Nothobranchius furzeri: one gene and its partners. The main gene of each other region encodes a partner of the protein of the gene in region 2 in a complex. Links are inferred from orthologs where the notes say so. Each region holds a gene or a part of one and is shown on either strand. Other genes may lie near its edges.

Region 1 (3,520 bases), about 11 Mb from region 2:
GCTTTACAGGAGCCAAGCGGAAGACTTTTACGTGGAACATCAGTCAAAGCCTTTCTTCAGGTGAGTGCTCGTGTAAATGATCTCCCAGTTCTGAGCAGAGAAGGGTTGTGATTGCCATCTAGCACTCCGACCACAACCTGTGATGGTGACATTTTAGAGTTTTTTAAATTCAAATCAGCTCCAACGTGACTCTGTTTTGCAGTGCGCTGGTGCACTTCATGTCCTCTGGGCCAGTGGTTGCCATGGAGCTGGTGGGTGACAAGGCCCTGTCGATCTGGAGGGAGCTCCTGGGACCTGCAGACTCTGCTGTGGCGTTAACAGAGGCGCCACAGAGCATCCGTGCACAGTTTGGAACAGACGCCATCAAAAATGTGGCCCATGGCTCTGACTCCATAGCTGTAGCAGCAAGAGTGAGGATTTTGACTTTGTTCTCGCTCTCTTGTGCCTTCAGTAGTCTGAGAATCGCACTTCCTGGAACGGTCATGATCATTAAAGTTTGTGTGTTTGTTTTTGTAAGGAGCTGGAATTCTTTTTTCCTTCCACGGTCGGCCATGGCCCCTCCAACACAGCCCTGTTCACAGACTGCACTTGTTGTATCATCAAACCCCACGCTGTATCAGCAGGTAAGGAGTCACTCAGGCATGGCAAAATATCTCACTTTTATTTGTATTTTGTTATTTTGAGTTCCTGTGCTGCTGGCTTGTTTCCCCCCCCCCTCCCCAACAAAGCCACCATGTGGTTTCCAAAATGGCCTTGGATTTTTCCAAATCCCAGTGCTGATCCCTGCTCCCGGGGCATGCCACCAGAGCTCTGAGCTGTGAAATGTGAAATTCTGTGCAGAGCTGATGTTTGCACACAGAAAGCTGTTGACTGGAGGTGGACCCCAGCTTTTGTTCTGCACTTACAGCAGAGAACATACAGTAATAACTACAGATCCACTAATATCTTGTTGTATCTTGAGTTTCATCATTTCTCTGGTATCTGACTGTCTTTATGTTTCAGTTTGAGCCAGCGTGACATTATATTGCACATACATGTATAAATTCATGTACCCTTGCATTTACGATGGAAACGCTCTCAATGGTCCCTGAAATAAACTTAAAGGGATTTTCCACCCCTAAGTGAAATTGAGTTTATTGCTGTATTCCCCAGAGTCAGAAAAGTCAGAAAAAAAAACCGACAAAATGATTCATTATAAAGGTTTTGTGAAAGCAAGGCTTATTTCCGTCCACTGCCTCTGGGCGATAATAAAGCCATGGTGTATCTGTGCACCGCTGCTCTCTGGCCTGCCTTCATGCTGCACCTAAACAGAACAGATCGCCCACTTTTGTTATTTCTGCAGTTACAGCCACGCTTAGCCTGCTAGGGCACGTTCAAATCTTTGGCTTGAGAAAGGAGGCGGTGAGAGAGAATACAAGTGGGCATGCTTTGTTTGTCTGCAAGGCACCGTTGAGCAACAGTTAAGCTTGCAACGAGCCGCGGTGATAAACCAGCTCGGTCCGAACGCATGGATTTCAACATTTGCTCAGTGAATACCGGTGGTTGTTGGCTGTGTTAATCATTCCTGACAGGTCACAGTGATAGTGCTCTGTGCTCGTATATAAACTTTTTATCAAACCCCGGCGTTTTCAAATGAAGGTTTCCTTCATTAGGGGGTCCAAATAAATTTAAAAAAAGTAGTTTTATGTGGAACAATAATTGCTCCCCATGTTACGTCCTGATTTATTTGTGATTAAACATATTTGTAGAGCTGGGGTGAGTTTCACCAGCCACACCCAGGCCTGCTTACTGCCACTAACTTCAACAGAACCTGTCCAACAACATGAAGTAGGCTAAAAGATCTCCATGCTCTGGTCTAAAGAACCCAACATCACCAAAGCACTGCAGACCTCATTAAGGTCAGAGGTCATGAATCAACCATGGCGACAGAGAGGTTCTACTGACCGTAATAATCCATAAGACTCATCTCACATTACATTTAGTGTAAAACTAACACTTCATTTCAGTGAAGTATCCTCATTCCAACAGTGAAGCATGGTGATGGTGGTATGATGGTCTGGGGCAGTTTTGCTGCTGCAGGACCTGGGCCACTTCCTGTAAATGATGGAACCATGAACGCTGATCCGTAGCAGAACATATCTTAAACAATGTCTCGCTTAAGCTGATGTGTTTGATGTGCTACAAGAAGTTTGGCGCTTCTTAAAACAGTTCAGTTAAAACGAATCAGTTATCTCTCAGAAAGTGTGGCATTGTTAAAACTTCAAAGCTCCTACTCAGGCGTCAGTTTCACTGCTAGAAGTGACTCCCACACTGTTTACCTTCAGAGCCGTGATATATTTGGTCCGAGCCAAGAATAGAAACCAGGCTGAATGATTTGTCCAGCTGAGGTCGACAAAAAGCTCTGCTCTGATCTCCCCTCAGAAATCTCTTCAGTAGCTCATTTATGTCGTCAAGACGGCCTGTCACCGTGGCCATGAAGGACGCTGTGAGTGAAAATTCACTCAGACATGACCGGAATAGAGAAGCTTCTGTTGCCAGGCTCCTGGAATAGTATCTCCTAGCAACAGCAGCAGCTGCTTTGTGGCGCTGCGAGGAGTGTGTGGAACCTGTGCAGTCCTGGGGAGGGCACAAAGGACTCAGGCTATTACCTAGTGCACATAACTGGACTGTGACGTAGGGAGGGAGAGATCCACAGACGGCGGCTACGCCTGGTTCCTATTGAACGTCTGCGCTGCAGCATTTAGAGTTAATGAAAACCGTCCTGGGTGACAGGTACACAAGCTACTTTTTATCAGACTGAGATTACGAGACTGGCGCCTTGATTCAATTGTGTGTCTGCAGCAGTCTGACCTTCAGAGTCACTGCAGCTGCACCACTTCTACAGCAAAGACCCAGCTCTTTGATGGGATGTACAGTTCACTATCTCGTTTCCTAAAAGGTTGCCTGGACAAAAATGCTTTCCCTCGATAGACAACACATCAGCGAGACTATCTCACTCTGTCCAGAGGACAGACTGAGGTCAGTGCACTGAGATGTACCGCTGATGTCTGAGCAGAAGCACGTTCAGTAGTGATGCATCCGGACTTCACGATAGTCAGATGCTTCACTGCAGCAGTGGATTCAGGTGTTATTTGATCTGGACGACATCTGAGATTGCTGCAGCACTAAAATACCGTGTTTGTCCTTCTGTGTAAACTCGGCTCATAAAGACTGATGAGCATCATGTGTTCACAGGGCTGACTGGGAAGATTCTTAACTCCATATCTGCAGCTGGATTTGAGATCTCAGCTCTTGGAATGGTGATTATTATTTTTCTGTGTTTGTTTCACATGAAATGAGTAAGGTCTGTAAACTCTAGCGCTTTAACAGCGACTCTTCATGCTTCCCACAGATCGATGCTGTAGAACTAACAAGCTGCTCAGTGTTACTGTGAAAGGGTTAGGGTCCATTAGGTGGAATAAAATCCCTTCATTTCAGTCTGTTGTAACAAATGGTTAATGGCCTGTATTTATACACCACT
Region 2 (2,775 bases):
TTATGACGTCTTTTTAAACGAAATTTTCTAGTGCGACCTGCCTGCTTCACTTAAGTCACTGCTTATTAAGGTCCGTCCAAAATTACCGTGAGAAACGGGTAATAATGGCTCTTTGATGGGAACAGGTTGCCGACCCCTGGTATAAGATCTGAGCTGGTAAAACAAAAATCCTCATCAGCAGGCGTTTTTGAAAGTGGGGGGACACAGCTGCCAATCACAAATTTTGCCGGGGACATGTCCCCGGCGTCCCGGTTAAAATGACGCCTATGCTGGTAACCAAGGTAGAGGTGCAGAACAGGAGTGATGTGCTCACTTCTCTTGGTTCTTGATAAGACTCTTGCAGCAGCATTCTGAATAAGCTGCAGTTGCTTCACAGCTTTTTGGAAAAACCAGTCAAAAGACAAGCCTTAAATATTTTTTGTATTTTACAGTAGATGAAAATTGGCTGAAGCTTTGGGTTTTAAGATGGAGGCAGAGGATTTTGTAGTAAAAATCAAAACTCAAAGTTGGATCAGCAAAGTTTTGCTTTAATGAAATGCAAATACAGTTTTCTGCTGTACAATAAGTTACCAACATGAAGTTTCACAACTTAGAAGTTCTGAGACGAAACATAACAATAATCCTGCTGATCAAGACATTTTACACAGCAGATAATATAAAACACAATGACCCTTCAGCTGATGATCAGTGATGTTTATGAGTGACGCACAGGTAAAAAAAAAGTTTATTTTCTGAATGATTATTTATTCACAAACAGCAGAAATGTTACGCTGCAGCCTTCTGATTGCGCTCCACAGCCATCCTCTCCAACCTCTCAGTGTAGAACCCATTAAAGTCCAACCTGTGGAGCCAAATTCCATTTTGATTAAATCAACAGAAACAAATGTTACCATTGCACAAATCTTACAATTTAATCACCAACTCCTCCAAACGTTGCCTCACAATTCTTTATATTTTCTGAAACAAGCTAAACTGAGAAAGCTAGAAGGGTTTCAGACCCTCGCTGTGATTTGGTAACTTTATTTACCCAAACATGGTCAACGAATGCACATTAAGAACACTCAGGAACATCTCGAGACTTTTTGGAGACTCCTTCATGAATGCTGTTTGCAGCAGACTAGTGAGAGCATGGCTTTAGATAGATCCCATGTTACCACACCTCTACAAGGTGGATGTGGTGTGAAAAACCAAATATTTACATTTTGTTTATGAAACACTAAATCATTGAACATCCTCTTACTAAGACACTTCAAATCAATGTAACTGACGAAAACTTCAGCTAATAAAAACACCATTATTCACTTCTCGCTGACACTAGGTCTGTGTCTCAATTCAGGGTCTGCATCCTTCGACGGCCGGATTCGTCGGCCAGTTACGTCACAGCGCCGCGACTAGGCCTGTCCCAATTTGAAGACTCCTTCAAATGCGGTCGACGAATCCGGCCTTCTTTTCGCCTGAATGAAGGATGGGTCCGGTGTATCCTTCAATGGTTTACATTTCCCAAGATGCTTTGCGGGCAGGATGGCAGAACTTTTAAAAACAATGGCGGACAGTGAAGCGGGAGCTGTCGGAGAGGATTGCACATATAAATGTCAGTATAAACTAGAAAACTGTTAGGTTAAGGGCTTTTTGTGATACATGAACGTTATTTTAGTTAGAAATGTTACAGTAAAAGTGCTTGTACTGCGGTCTCGGCTCGTATGTTCGGCCGCTCGGTGTCGTACTTCTCCCGCTACGTTTCCCCCTGATTTTAATAGAAGTTTGTATTTTAGGGACAAAAGAGAAAACCAGGGAATTTATTAAGCTTAGGGCAGAGATGGACCACATGATCACCGGAGCAAAGTATTCGGCGGCTGTGGAGGTACAATAACATCTCATATTTTAAAAACTGTCGTTTAGTTTTTTTCTGCAAAAACATGAAAGGAATAACCCGTTGTCCTCTTTTCTCTTCCTGTTTTTTCCTACATGTTTGTTAAGACTATTCTGGAGAAAATGGGCATCCAGGGGAAGGTGACAGCGATGACCAGCTTCTGGAGCTGATCAGGGAGGACTTGAGGCTGCAGAGGGAGGCAGAGCAGCAGAGGGCAGGAGAGAAGGGAGAACTTTGACAGCTTTTTAGTTTGCTAGAAAAAATGGTTACGAAAGATTAAACATGTACATATAAAAGAAATATCTAAATAAAATCTATTCTGTATTAAACTTAAATTTTATTTTTGTTTACAAATGAGAATTGTTTCATATTACAGGGTATCAGCTGGGTCTTGAAAAGTCTTAAAAGGTGATAAATCGGTTTTGGTCAAATTGAGACCCTTAGAAAGTATTAAAAACTATTATCACATCTTTGCTCAGGCTCAGCTTGTCGAAAGTATTTTCTCTGAATTAGCTCTCCAACAGTCAAGGAAATGATTAAAAAGCTAAATAAAACTTCGAGCTCCATCGTTTAAAGTTCCTTCTCCCTCCTGCTCAGCGGTTCCACGGTTGCTAGGCGACGGAACGTTCGCCGAGGGAGTGGCAGGAATTCATGAAGGCTAGGCCTGTCCAAATTCACAGCCGTTAACATCCGGTCTACCCGGCCGACGGAGGACTCAGCCCACGTCGGCCGAGTAGGCTGGGTCCTTCGAAGGATGCAGACCCTGAATTGAGACACAGCGAAGCTCTTCCTGCACCTTAGGGTTCCAAATGATTACCTGTAGATGATGCTGATCATGCTGTGCTCACAGTCGTTGGTGCTGTAGATGCTCAGCTTGTCCAGCAGGTCGAGCAGCAGCAGGCCGA
Region 3 (3,970 bases), about 12 Mb from region 2:
ACATTTTCCACAAATATCAACATTTCATTTAAAGAAACATTATTCTTCCAGCAAATTATTTTTTGAACCTACTAATAGAAAAAAATATTTTAAGTGACAACAAATCTCTTTTAGTCGATATTTATGGAAGGTATAAAAAAGTCTGCCTTTTATTTGATAAAAAAGGTCAGAATTCTGACTTCAACCTCCCAAGGCCTGAATTTGTATTTGGTGTGAAAAAAGAAAGAAAAAGAAACATTTTTAAAACTTAATCAAAATCAAGTGTCTCTAAATCATATCTTTTAAAAAGGTCTAAGTTGAAGAGAATGAAATATAATGCAAGAAGAAGTCAATGTCACATATGTGGACACAGGGTCTCATTTGGATTATTTCCTTAGGGCTTATTTTTGGGATTCTGTGAAAAAGAGAGAACCATTTTTTGGTGTCGTTGATGTATTGAAATGATATTTTTTATACTTTTATTTACAGTAAATTACAAAAATCTTTTTTCAGCTTAATTTAAAACGATTAAAGGGATTTTGTAATTATATTCTGATTCCTCTTTTTTCTTTATTCACATTGTAGGTGGATGGACCTGCATTCATCTTTAATGAAGACCCCTGGAATGTGTTTAAACCAATTAAATATTGATCAGTTTCAGAGGACAAACTTTAAGAATAATTGCTTTTATAGTTTAATCAGTAAATTATCATTTATTGCAATTTATACCTTTTGAAATATGCTATTCTTGATTTAAGAACGTGTTATAACCAATGCAGTCATTTAAGACATACGGGGGATGGCTGGACCAATAATTTACTAATGTGATCTCTCACACATATGGCAATAAACCCTTCTCGTTCTGATTCTGAAAAGGGATTAATTAAGATGAGATGGTGGGCGTGGCTATAAGCATGGGGTTAATCAATCAAACAAACCAATGAATGATTTTGAAATACAAATTATGAGTTTAATATTGTTTGATTTAAGAAGAAGGGATGTATTTGACCAGCAGAAATGCAAATTTTGATACTCGAAAAATGTAAACGGGTGCGTGCTTTTTTATATGATACAACAGCCTTCCATACAACATAACATTTCAACGAACAAGAAGGAAATAAAGCGTTGACTTTTTTTCAGTGGTACGCATGCGCACCATTGTATGTTTCGATGACGCGGTAGTGGAGGAATCAATGGACCTAACAGTCAATGTAGCGCCTCAGTTTTTGTACATTTGCAATAACGATTTCAACGTTGTTCTTCAAGTCTTATATTTTGAAAAGTTATCCAATAGTTTGCAAGAGTGAGCCAGGCGGTTCCATGCAGGCTAACGCTTGGGGCTAATTCTTGTAGCACAACCAGCAGCTGGAACACCATGGCACACTGGAGCACCTTTGAAAAGGAGACGGAGAAAGAAACCAAGAAGTTAATCAGATCTATCAGCAAGATTGAAGATGAGGAGGACCAAAATTTCCAGTCTGCGCTGAAATTTACGTGGTCAAATTTCAAGTAAGTTAGCCACCGGAAGCAAGCATGTTGTTAGCTGCTAACAAAAGTGTAGCTAACTCAAAGAAGGGCTGCTGTTTACCGCCTGCTTTAATTTCCTCTGTCAGATTTCATCGTTATTTGGACGTCGACAGTCATAAAGTTCAACGCAGTATAAGTGGGTGAGTGCGTTTTGCTGCTCTTGTTTCCTTCCGGTTGTATTATGTTTCATTTGATTTATTTTAGGGAAATGTGAGTCTAATGGACGGATGTGATCTGGACAGGTGAAGCTCTTAAAAGCCACTTTACAGATCAATACAAGCCTGTTGGTGAATATATATATATATATATATATATATATATATATATATATATATATATATATGAGATGCTAAACATAGCTGATAAAGTCTGAATAATAGGGCCTTTTTGGTTCGATTTGTTGACTTTATAATAAACAACAGCATAAACAGTCTTTGGTTCTGGTTCATTGTAATTTACTGCCAGTGGCTGTAAAGCATCTTCGTTTGGAATAGTTTCATTATGTTGTTTTACTAAGATGACTACTACAGGTAGATCCACCTGATTTAACATTTTTGTATCTTGCACAGTTTTTTGTTGATTGTGTTTAATGCAATATGTTGTTTTAATATTCTGTAGCTGTACTCGTTTGGCTGAATCACAAAACACTCATCTCAAATTGATCTGTATTCAAACAGGAAAGAAGTCAATTCTTGTTTAATTCAGAAATGCATCCGAAAAAAAGCTGGTTATTAGAATTAGCCCATATTTTCTATGGTTTTTCATATAATTTTCAATAATTATTGATATCAATCAATAAGATTTTTTTATTGATTGGAATTTTTTCTATATCGTCCAGTCCTAATATATATACATAATTTTTTAGCTTGTTGTCTGTATAAAAGACACCTGTCCACACCTTAAAACCATCAGACTTATACCTCCACCATGGCCAAGACCTTAGAGCTGTCTAAGGACACCAGGGACAAGACTGTACACCTGCAAAAGACTCGATGAGCCAATCTACAATTGGCATCAAGCTCTTACTTCATGGGGTACTAATGATCTTGAGAGAATGGTGAAACAGCCCAGAACTACACTAGGGGGTGGTTAATGACCTGAAGAGAGCTGAGACCACAGTGACAAAGGTTACTATTACTAACACACTACATTGACATGAATTAAAATTCCGTAATGCTCTTAAGTCCCCCTGCTCAGAACAGCACATGTCCAGGGGTCTCATTTATCAAACATGGCGCAGAATCCTTACTAAAACCGTACTTAAGCTCAGCAAAAATATGTACTTACGCCAAGCAGGTGTGTGATCTATCAAACATGGAGGACTCACAGCTGCACGCAACCTCCACTTCATAAATCTGAGACTTATGAGAATGTTTCTCAGCTGCATTTTAGTCACATCCTGCCCTCACCACGCCCACCTATTGCCATAAATGGTCAATGCAAAGTGCCTTGTGGATCTCATGCATATACATAAGCCGGCTGTTGCAGCGCTCCGCCAATGACATGGCGACCGTAGATCAAGGCAGATCAAGGAAGCGCTATTTCACAGAAGCAGAAGTTGAGGTACCTGTGGGTGAGGTGGAGAAATGAAAGGAAGTGCTTTTGCAAAACAAATAAGAGAAAATCCACAGAGTGGCACAGCGTTGCTGAAGCCGTCAATGCTGACTTCTTCAGAGAGATCTGTGGCGGGTATAAAAAAAATGATACGATCGGGATTCGATCCCCAGACTCCTGGATGAAAGTCACGCGCACTAACCAGTCACCCAAACAGAGATCTCCCCTGTACAAGTAGCCAGGGCGCATGATCGATCGGGTCACAGTGACAGGACACACACTGTCACACACGCATGATGTTCTGTCTCAATCTGTCCCCCTGCTGATATTCTGTATTCTGCGCTTCAGGCTGTGTGTGTGTGTGTGTGTGTGTGTGTGGGGGGGGGGGGGGGGGTCTTGTTCTGTGTGAAAATGAAGCAGTACAAGTGATAATGCTGCAGGATTTCATCAGTTTATCCTTCTCAGCAGCAGCACTGCAGGTGCTCTCCATGTCCAGCATGTGTGTAAGCCAGGTCCTTAGTCATCTTAAAGTTGTGCACGTTTTTCAGCCAAGTTTTCTTTCATAAATCCCAAAGTTTGCGTGGAAAGTTGCTTACGCTGTTTTCCAACCCCATTTTGTGCGTAAGCTAGCTTGATGAATGAGGCCCCAGTCCGTCTGAAGTGTGCCAGCCAGAGACCACCGGGATGATCCAGAGAAGGATCAGGAAATTCAGATGGGAGCAAAACAGAACTGTTTGGAACTTGCTGTGTTTGGAGGAGGAAGAATGCTGAGTTGCATTCCAAGAACACCATTACCTCTGTGAGTCAGGGGGAAAAATTATATTTTGAGGCTGATTTTCTGCAAAGGGGACAGGACTGATCTGTATTCAGGAAAATGGGGCCGTGTATCATGAGATTTGGGGGATAAATC
Region 4 (2,645 bases), on a different chromosome or scaffold from region 2:
GCATGCCGTGTCCACAAACACTCACCATCACCATTATTAGTTCATATTTTTCAACAAACATGTAACGCATGTTTGCAACAGAGAAACTTTAGATCACACATGTACACAACAATAACATCTTCTAAAAGGGCACATGAGCCATTTCTCCGCCTCTAAATTCCCCAAGGCTGATTTTTTTTCCCTCTTTTATTTTCCTTCATGACCTTAATATAAAAAACAAGTGAACCTTTGCTCTCTTTGCCCTGGTAGTCCACAGTTAGATGCAGCAGAGGCAGCAGGTTGTCGTCGTCCAGCAGCACCTTATGAGCAGCCTGCTGGAACGCCACGTTCACGTCTGGAAGGAGAAAACAGTCTCAGCACATGAAATCCATGACTGCTGCTAGTAGTGAACACAAATTCAGACACTTTTCATCAACAGAAACCAGCAGATGGTGGAAGCCCAGGTGTACAATGACTTTTTGGTCACAACCCACTAGAGCTAAATCAGAAGGTGAGGGCGACTCTGTGCTTCTGTTGTCTCTTATTAGCTGTAAGGTGACCCAAGCGGCTTAAACAGGCAAACATCTCGGTCTCTGCACAGACTAAAAAAAACTGGGTCAGCCACACAAAACAAGGCCAAAACCTCCTCTAAATGAATTAGAATTTTCTAAAGAGAATTGAAAACAAGTCAACTAAATGGTTTGTTTCACAGAATATTCTGGAGTGAGTGAAGGAGGGAGCAGGAGATCAGGGCACACGTCTGCAGTGGTGTGGATGCTGAACTGGTCAGTTGAGGTGAAGAAAGCGTTAAGCCAGACAGTGAAGGTGATCTTCATCTCGATCCTGACTTTTGGCCATTAGCGCTGAGTAATGCCAGAAACAAGATCATGAACACAAGCGGCTATAAGGAGTTTCCTTAGCAGGGAGGTTGGGCTCAGCCGTTGAGAGGGAGGAGCAAACAGCGGAGCCGCTGCTCCTCCGTGTTAATAGGAGCCAGCTGAGGCGGTTCAGGCATTTGGTCTGGATGCAGGGTCTGTTTAGAAAAAAATGCACACTCTGTTTATAAGTTGCTGCCGGCCTTGCAGCGCTTCTTCTAGCAGTAATCTGAAATTAATTCCTCCAAACAGCACGCCGAACTTCAGCTTACCCGTCGAGCAGAAAACCAGCAACAGAGGTGTCTGGGGGGAGGCCAACCTTCGCTTTAAGCGTACGCCATCGTTGGAAAGAGTCTCCTAAAAAAAGATTCTGATCTTATTTCTAGGGCCCGACTTCAGAGACACTTCTCCTCTTGCGACTCTCGGCCATTTTCAAAAGAACCCGGTGAGAACGACGAGGAATAAAAGCGGATCACTCTGCACATAGACAGAATGCGCAGGAAGTGAAAACTACCCAGCACCAAGAACGCACGACGACAGCCTTTCGTGAAAGCGTCAAAAAAATGATTGACAGTCTAAACAAACAACCGACTACACGTTTATTTGTGAAACATTTACAGGTACACCAGTTTAGGAGGTCAAAAACAGCTCTTCATCTACAGGGTCTGAGTCTTCCTCTGTAAAACGATGAACCCGATTATGATCTGATGAAGAGGAGGAGACCCCTCTGGCATCTAACCACCACTGTCTGAACTCCTTCCTCAGAGAAAACACCCAAATGAGAGGAACTGGTTGTCTCAAGAAAGTTTGCTATGGATCATAATTCTGTAAAATATTTCATGTATACAGAATGCATATGATATGATTTAACACCAGGTAAAATAAAAACACCCAGAGGTGAGTGAGATCTGTGCAGACATGTTTACCGTGCTCGGTGACTGCTGTTGGAGGAGTCTTCAACATGTGCTGAGCAAGGTCAATGAACACCTGATAGAGCTCGCCACGACCCAGCAGGTAGAAATCCTTAACGATCTGGAGGAGATCACAAACATCGTCAGCACAGCGCATATCCGAGTTCAACAAACAATTACGAAATGAAAAACCTTGAGCTGTTCCAGCAGATTTGCCTCCTCCACCATCAACGTCCACAGGTGCTGCAGATCAAAACAATAGGACCAGGGTTACGTTTTACAGCGCCGTCCCCGCCAACTTGTGTTTTTATTTAACCGAGTAAAGTAATGCAGCGATGCTGGTGCTCACCTCTGCCACTGTGCTCCTGATTCGATCGATTAAATTCTCAAAGTCCACCAGGCTGAACAGCGGCTGCTGTTTGAGTCTGTGTAGCTCAGCAGCAAAAAGGTCCTCCTGGTGCTTTAATATGGAGCCTAAAACAAAAGGACAAAGATGTGTTTGAGGGTCACTAATAAGCGGGCGCTAGACTCCACATATATATGAAGTACCGGCTCTGGACGGGCTGTGGTTGTGATTTTCAAACATTTGAACAGATTCTCCAACAAACAGGATCTTCTCAGCCACCCTGATGGGGATATAAGATGGCAGCATCTCTGTTCGCAGAGAGAACTGCTGGAGTGATGGAGCCAGCATGTTCTCCTCCTCGATCAGCCTCTGAAGACATTAGAGTAAACGCTGTTAGACAGACCCTATCCACGGACTGATGAAGGACTTTAACCGGCCTCACCAGGTCCTGTAATTCTCTGAGCTGCTTGCCACTTAAACCTCCCAGACCCAGGTCCTCCTCCTCCTCGTCCTGGCTGGCAGCAGCACCTCCTG
Region 5 (3,520 bases), on a different chromosome or scaffold from region 2:
TTACGGTCAGGGTCTCAGTCTCGTTACGGTCTCAGTCTTTTTACGGTCTCGGTCTCGTTACGGTCTCTGTCTCATTACGGTCAGGGTCTCGGTCTCGTTAGGGTCTCATTCTTGTTGTGGTCTTGTTGCGGTCTCTGTCTCGTTACGGTCTCGGTCTTGTTACGGTCTCTGTCTCGTTACGGTCTCGGTCTTGTTGCGGTCAGGGTCTCTGTCTCGTTACGGTCTCTGTCTCGTTACGGTCTCAGTCTTGTTGCGGTCCGGGTCTCGGTCTCATTACGGTCTCCGTCACTTTCGGCGAATATTTAAAAGATGGAGCCTATTTCTGTCGGCCTCTGCAGGTCTGCCGGAAAGCGCTTTTGGTGACGTGTCATGGCGTTGCACGTCTTCGTACTGACGCAGAAGGAGACGTGGACATCAGGCTTGAGAGGTTTTTGAAAACATCAAAGGTTTGGCTGCGTTTGTGAAAGCAACCAGCAGCAGAGCAGAGCTGATCTAAAAACACCAGCATGACTCGACTCTGAGTCCACGACCTGCCTCAGGCTCATTTTTCTGAAGTTAACTTGCTGCGACTCGTGTTTACAATGTAGTTCATTTACTCTTGTTTATACAGAACGTTTATTTCTTTATTTGGGATCTAAACTTTGTCGGTTTCAGGTTTTCAGAGACCAGAGTCGATGTTTCATGTCTCTGGCACCAAAGGACAGATAACAGCTTTCACTCTGTTAACTTTAGTTTTGCTCTAAGAGTAAAATAATTCCTAATTTTTATTGTTTTATACAGATATTTCAATTTTGTGTCTTATTCTGGTTCTAAAAAGGAAGATATTTGTTTGCTTTAATAAACATTTAAGTGTTTTTTTTCTCTCTCAATAGATTTAGAAATAGAAATACTAAATCTATTTCTCTGTGGAGCCTCTTAGTTTAGTCGCGTTTTGCTCAGATTCTCCAGATTAATCTAGAACCCTTTCTGTGTCTTCAGTCAGTCTTCAGCTGGAGCCACGCAACCTCTGGGCTCTCGGTTAGCCTGGGCACTTCCTGTAAGCTCCTCCCCTTCATCTGCTCTGGCCCCGCCCACATCCAGACCACCCCTCGGGCCTGCGGTTCTGTCCAGCAGGCTGGTCCGTCCTCGACGGGACGGCGACGCAGCTGGTGAATGACTACAGTTGTTGTTAATCACTAAATAAGTTATTGTTAAATTAAAAAGAACACTTTATTTCTACTTATTTTACCAACTTTTCCAGGTTTTTAAGTTCCTTTCTCAGAGAACTACTGTTCAGTTTTAATGTTGATCGCCCATCTTCCACCCGTGCAGATGAGGTGAGCGAGGCGGCGCTGGTGCGGGACATCCTCTACGTCTTCCAGGGAATCGACGGCAAATTCATCAAGATGAACGCTCAGGAAAACGGCTACAAAATGGACAGCAAGGTACGTTCTCCGAGGCCGAGGTGACCCCGCTGGGATTAAACCGTTGCTGCTAATTGCACTTTCAGCCGATCGATGCGAGGCTTTTTGGCGCTGAAACGCATCAGCTGGAGCTTTTTCTGGCCTGTCGATTCCTTTTGTTCCACGTCGTTCCGGACCGGTGCTGCTAAACTTAGATTCATGGTCGGAGTTTTCCATCAGGACAGGAGCCGGAGAGGATAGTTGAGTCAAGGATGAAGATATTTTGGAGTTCCCATCCCCACTTAACCTCCCTGGAGAAAACGTTAAGAGGATAAAAATTTAATGCAACATTAAGAGTGAATTATTCTCGCCTTTCCGGTTACGCTGATGGAAAACTACGGCCGTTTCCACCCACACGCCAAAGCTTTAGCTTTTTCGTTTTATTACTGTTGGGAAGTCACTGCAGAATTTACACGGTTAAGTTATTTCTAATTAATCATAACGGGAGTTTTCTGCTTTAAAGTTCAGCAGAGAAATGCATCTAAATGATTTTGGGTCTGTTTTAGTTTCCAATTTCTGTAAAAGTTATGAACAATTTCTATTTTAAATGATTTTTAAGTAATTTTTAGTTTAGTAAATTCTAACATATTTTAGATTCACACAACAAATCCTGGCCTGAGGCTAACAGTCATAAATGAATGAGCTGGATGAGGATTTAGTCGGCTGTAGCTGCTTTAGACGTTATCTACTACAAGTAATATTTATAAAGACGCAGGTATGTTTCTCTGAGGGAATCGTTTCACCTTAAAAATATATAAAAACTGCTGATTTTAGTAGTTTTGACCTTTTCTAAATGATAAACGGGAAACGTGTCCACTCTTCAGGTCTAGACTCAGTCATCAGGATTCAGAGCACTTCTGTTTCCAACCTCTAGGTGGTGCTATGCAGGTCCCTCAGGGACACCAGCAGCAGACTGGCTGAACTGGGCTGGCTCCATAACAAAGTTAGGAAGTACACCGACGCCAGGAGCCTGGATCGGGCCTTCGGATTGGTCGGACAGGTGAGTCGTCGTTGCCTGGTTGTGTTTTTCACTCCTGTACACCTGTTGATGCTCACCTGTGTTTTTCCCCAGAGCTTCTGCGCCTCCCTTCACCAGGAGCTGAAAGAGTACTACAGGCTCCTCTCTGTCCTCCACTCACAGGTAATATTCCTTATGGCTGACATGCTTTTATTTTGGTAACCTGTCTTATCCATGGCCCGCGGGGGGGGGGGGGGGGGGGGGGGGGGGGGGGCTTCCACTTTGAGGAAAATTCAAACGGAATAAAAAATGAAACATGTAAAGTTGTGGAATTAGTCAAAATCCAGATGTAATCCAATCTGGATTTGCTGATAATCTGTGTTTTTCACTCTTTACAGTAAAGTTCACCAAGATTGAGAGATTAGAGATGCACCCATTCAAATGTTGAGATCCTGATGTTGAAGAAAGTTCTAGATCAGGTATCAGGAAAATGGGTTTGATCTGTGCTGAGAGCTGAGAGAGACATCACACGCTAGCGAGTCACCTCTCAAAGGCTCACGTTGTTTTCAGATTGGAGCAAACTAAAGAAACCGCGCACTGGAGCGTTCTCACGCCACCTCAGCCACCTCAGGTGTCGGTATCGGACGATACTAAACATCATGTGCCGGTATCGGACGATACTAAACCTCAGGTGTCGGTATCGGACGATGCTAAACCTCAGGTGTCGGTATCGGACGATGCTAAACCTCAGGTGTCGGTATCGGACGGTACTAAACCTCAGGTGCCGGTTTCGGACGATACTAAACCTCAGGTGCCGGTATCGGACGATACTAAACCTCAGGTGCCGGTATCGGACGGTACTAAACCTCAGGTGCCGGTTTCGGACGATACTAAACCTCAGGTGTCGGTATCGGACGGTACTAAACCTCAGGTGCCGGTTTCGGACGATACTAAACCTCAGGTGCCGGTATCGGACGATACTAAACCTCAGGTGCCGGTATCGGACGATACTAAACCTCAGGTGTCTGTATCGGACGATACTAACCCTCAGGTGTCTGTATCGGACGATACTAAACCTCAGGTGTCTGTATCGGACGATACTAAAACTCAGGTGTCTGTA

What was found.
Region 1: tubgcp2 (region 2) and nme7 share a complex: the UniProt entries of both Homo sapiens proteins name them as parts of the gamma-tubulin ring complex. The link is inferred for Nothobranchius furzeri from reciprocal best matches to the Homo sapiens genes TUBGCP2 and NME7.
Region 3: tubgcp2 (region 2) and tubgcp5 share a complex: the UniProt entries of both Homo sapiens proteins name them as parts of the gamma-tubulin ring complex. The link is inferred for Nothobranchius furzeri from reciprocal best matches to the Homo sapiens genes TUBGCP2 and TUBGCP5.
Region 4: tubgcp2 (region 2) and tubgcp4 share a complex: the UniProt entries of both Homo sapiens proteins name them as parts of the gamma-tubulin ring complex. The link is inferred for Nothobranchius furzeri from reciprocal best matches to the Homo sapiens genes TUBGCP2 and TUBGCP4.
Region 5: the proteins of tubgcp2 (region 2) and tubgcp3 are in contact, whole or in part, in a cryo-EM structure (PDB 8Q62), measured with the Homo sapiens proteins. The link is inferred for Nothobranchius furzeri from reciprocal best matches to the Homo sapiens genes TUBGCP2 and TUBGCP3. Residues at the interface, in NP_006650.1 of Homo sapiens: Gln172, His173, Pro175, Ile176, Phe177, Pro178, Trp180, Arg184, Ala186, Leu187, Ile188, Gly189, Phe191, Leu222, Tyr223, Val226, Val228, Asp229, Gly230, Arg231, Glu278, Ser281, Phe283, Gln287, His290, Ala291, Ala294, Arg297, Val300, Lys301; in NP_006313.1 of Homo sapiens: Glu272, Asn273, Cys274, Ser286, Leu287, Asp289, Thr290, Val292, Arg293, Glu296, Trp299, Ser361, Thr363, Leu364, Arg365, Leu368, Val369, Tyr372, Lys375, Ile376, Lys379, Ala382, Ala383, Asp386, His387, Ala402, Tyr403, Lys405, Thr406, Gly407.

Annotation. Positions count from the first base shown.
Region 1 is NC_091756.1:61,686,943-61,690,462, reverse strand, and holds part of nme7 (nucleoside diphosphate kinase homolog 7), read left to right. Parts: intron 1-9; coding exon 10-60; intron 61-202; coding exon 203-410; intron 411-517; coding exon 518-623; intron 624-3,234; coding exon 3,235-3,299; intron 3,300-3,520. UniProt on the Homo sapiens protein: Possesses an intrinsic kinase activity. Displays 3'-5' exonuclease activity with a preference for single-stranded DNA. Does not seem to have nucleoside diphosphate kinase activity.
Region 2 is NC_091756.1:50,628,398-50,631,172, reverse strand, and holds the end of tubgcp2 (gamma-tubulin complex component 2), read right to left. Parts: coding exon 2,688-2,775; intron 842-2,687; coding exon 766-841; 3' UTR 507-765; downstream 1-506. UniProt on the Homo sapiens protein: Component of the gamma-tubulin ring complex (gTuRC) which mediates microtubule nucleation.
Region 3 is NC_091756.1:62,472,741-62,476,710, reverse strand, and holds the start of tubgcp5 (gamma-tubulin complex component 5), read left to right. Parts: upstream 1-1,156; 5' UTR 1,157-1,354; coding exon 1,355-1,488; intron 1,489-1,592; coding exon 1,593-1,646; intron 1,647-3,970. UniProt on the Homo sapiens protein: Component of the gamma-tubulin ring complex (gTuRC) which mediates microtubule nucleation.
Region 4 is NC_091749.1:30,388,259-30,390,903, reverse strand, and holds part of tubgcp4 (gamma-tubulin complex component 4), read right to left. Parts: coding exon 2,554-2,645; intron 2,481-2,553; coding exon 2,315-2,480; intron 2,240-2,314; coding exon 2,115-2,239; intron 2,009-2,114; coding exon 1,958-2,008; intron 1,887-1,957; coding exon 1,781-1,886; intron 335-1,780; coding exon 227-334; intron 1-226. UniProt on the Homo sapiens protein: Component of the gamma-tubulin ring complex (gTuRC) which mediates microtubule nucleation.
Region 5 is NC_091754.1:48,784,653-48,788,172, forward strand, and holds part of tubgcp3 (gamma-tubulin complex component 3), read left to right. Parts: intron 1-978; coding exon 979-1,148; intron 1,149-1,311; coding exon 1,312-1,424; intron 1,425-2,316; coding exon 2,317-2,442; intron 2,443-2,514; coding exon 2,515-2,583; intron 2,584-3,520. UniProt on the Homo sapiens protein: Component of the gamma-tubulin ring complex (gTuRC) which mediates microtubule nucleation.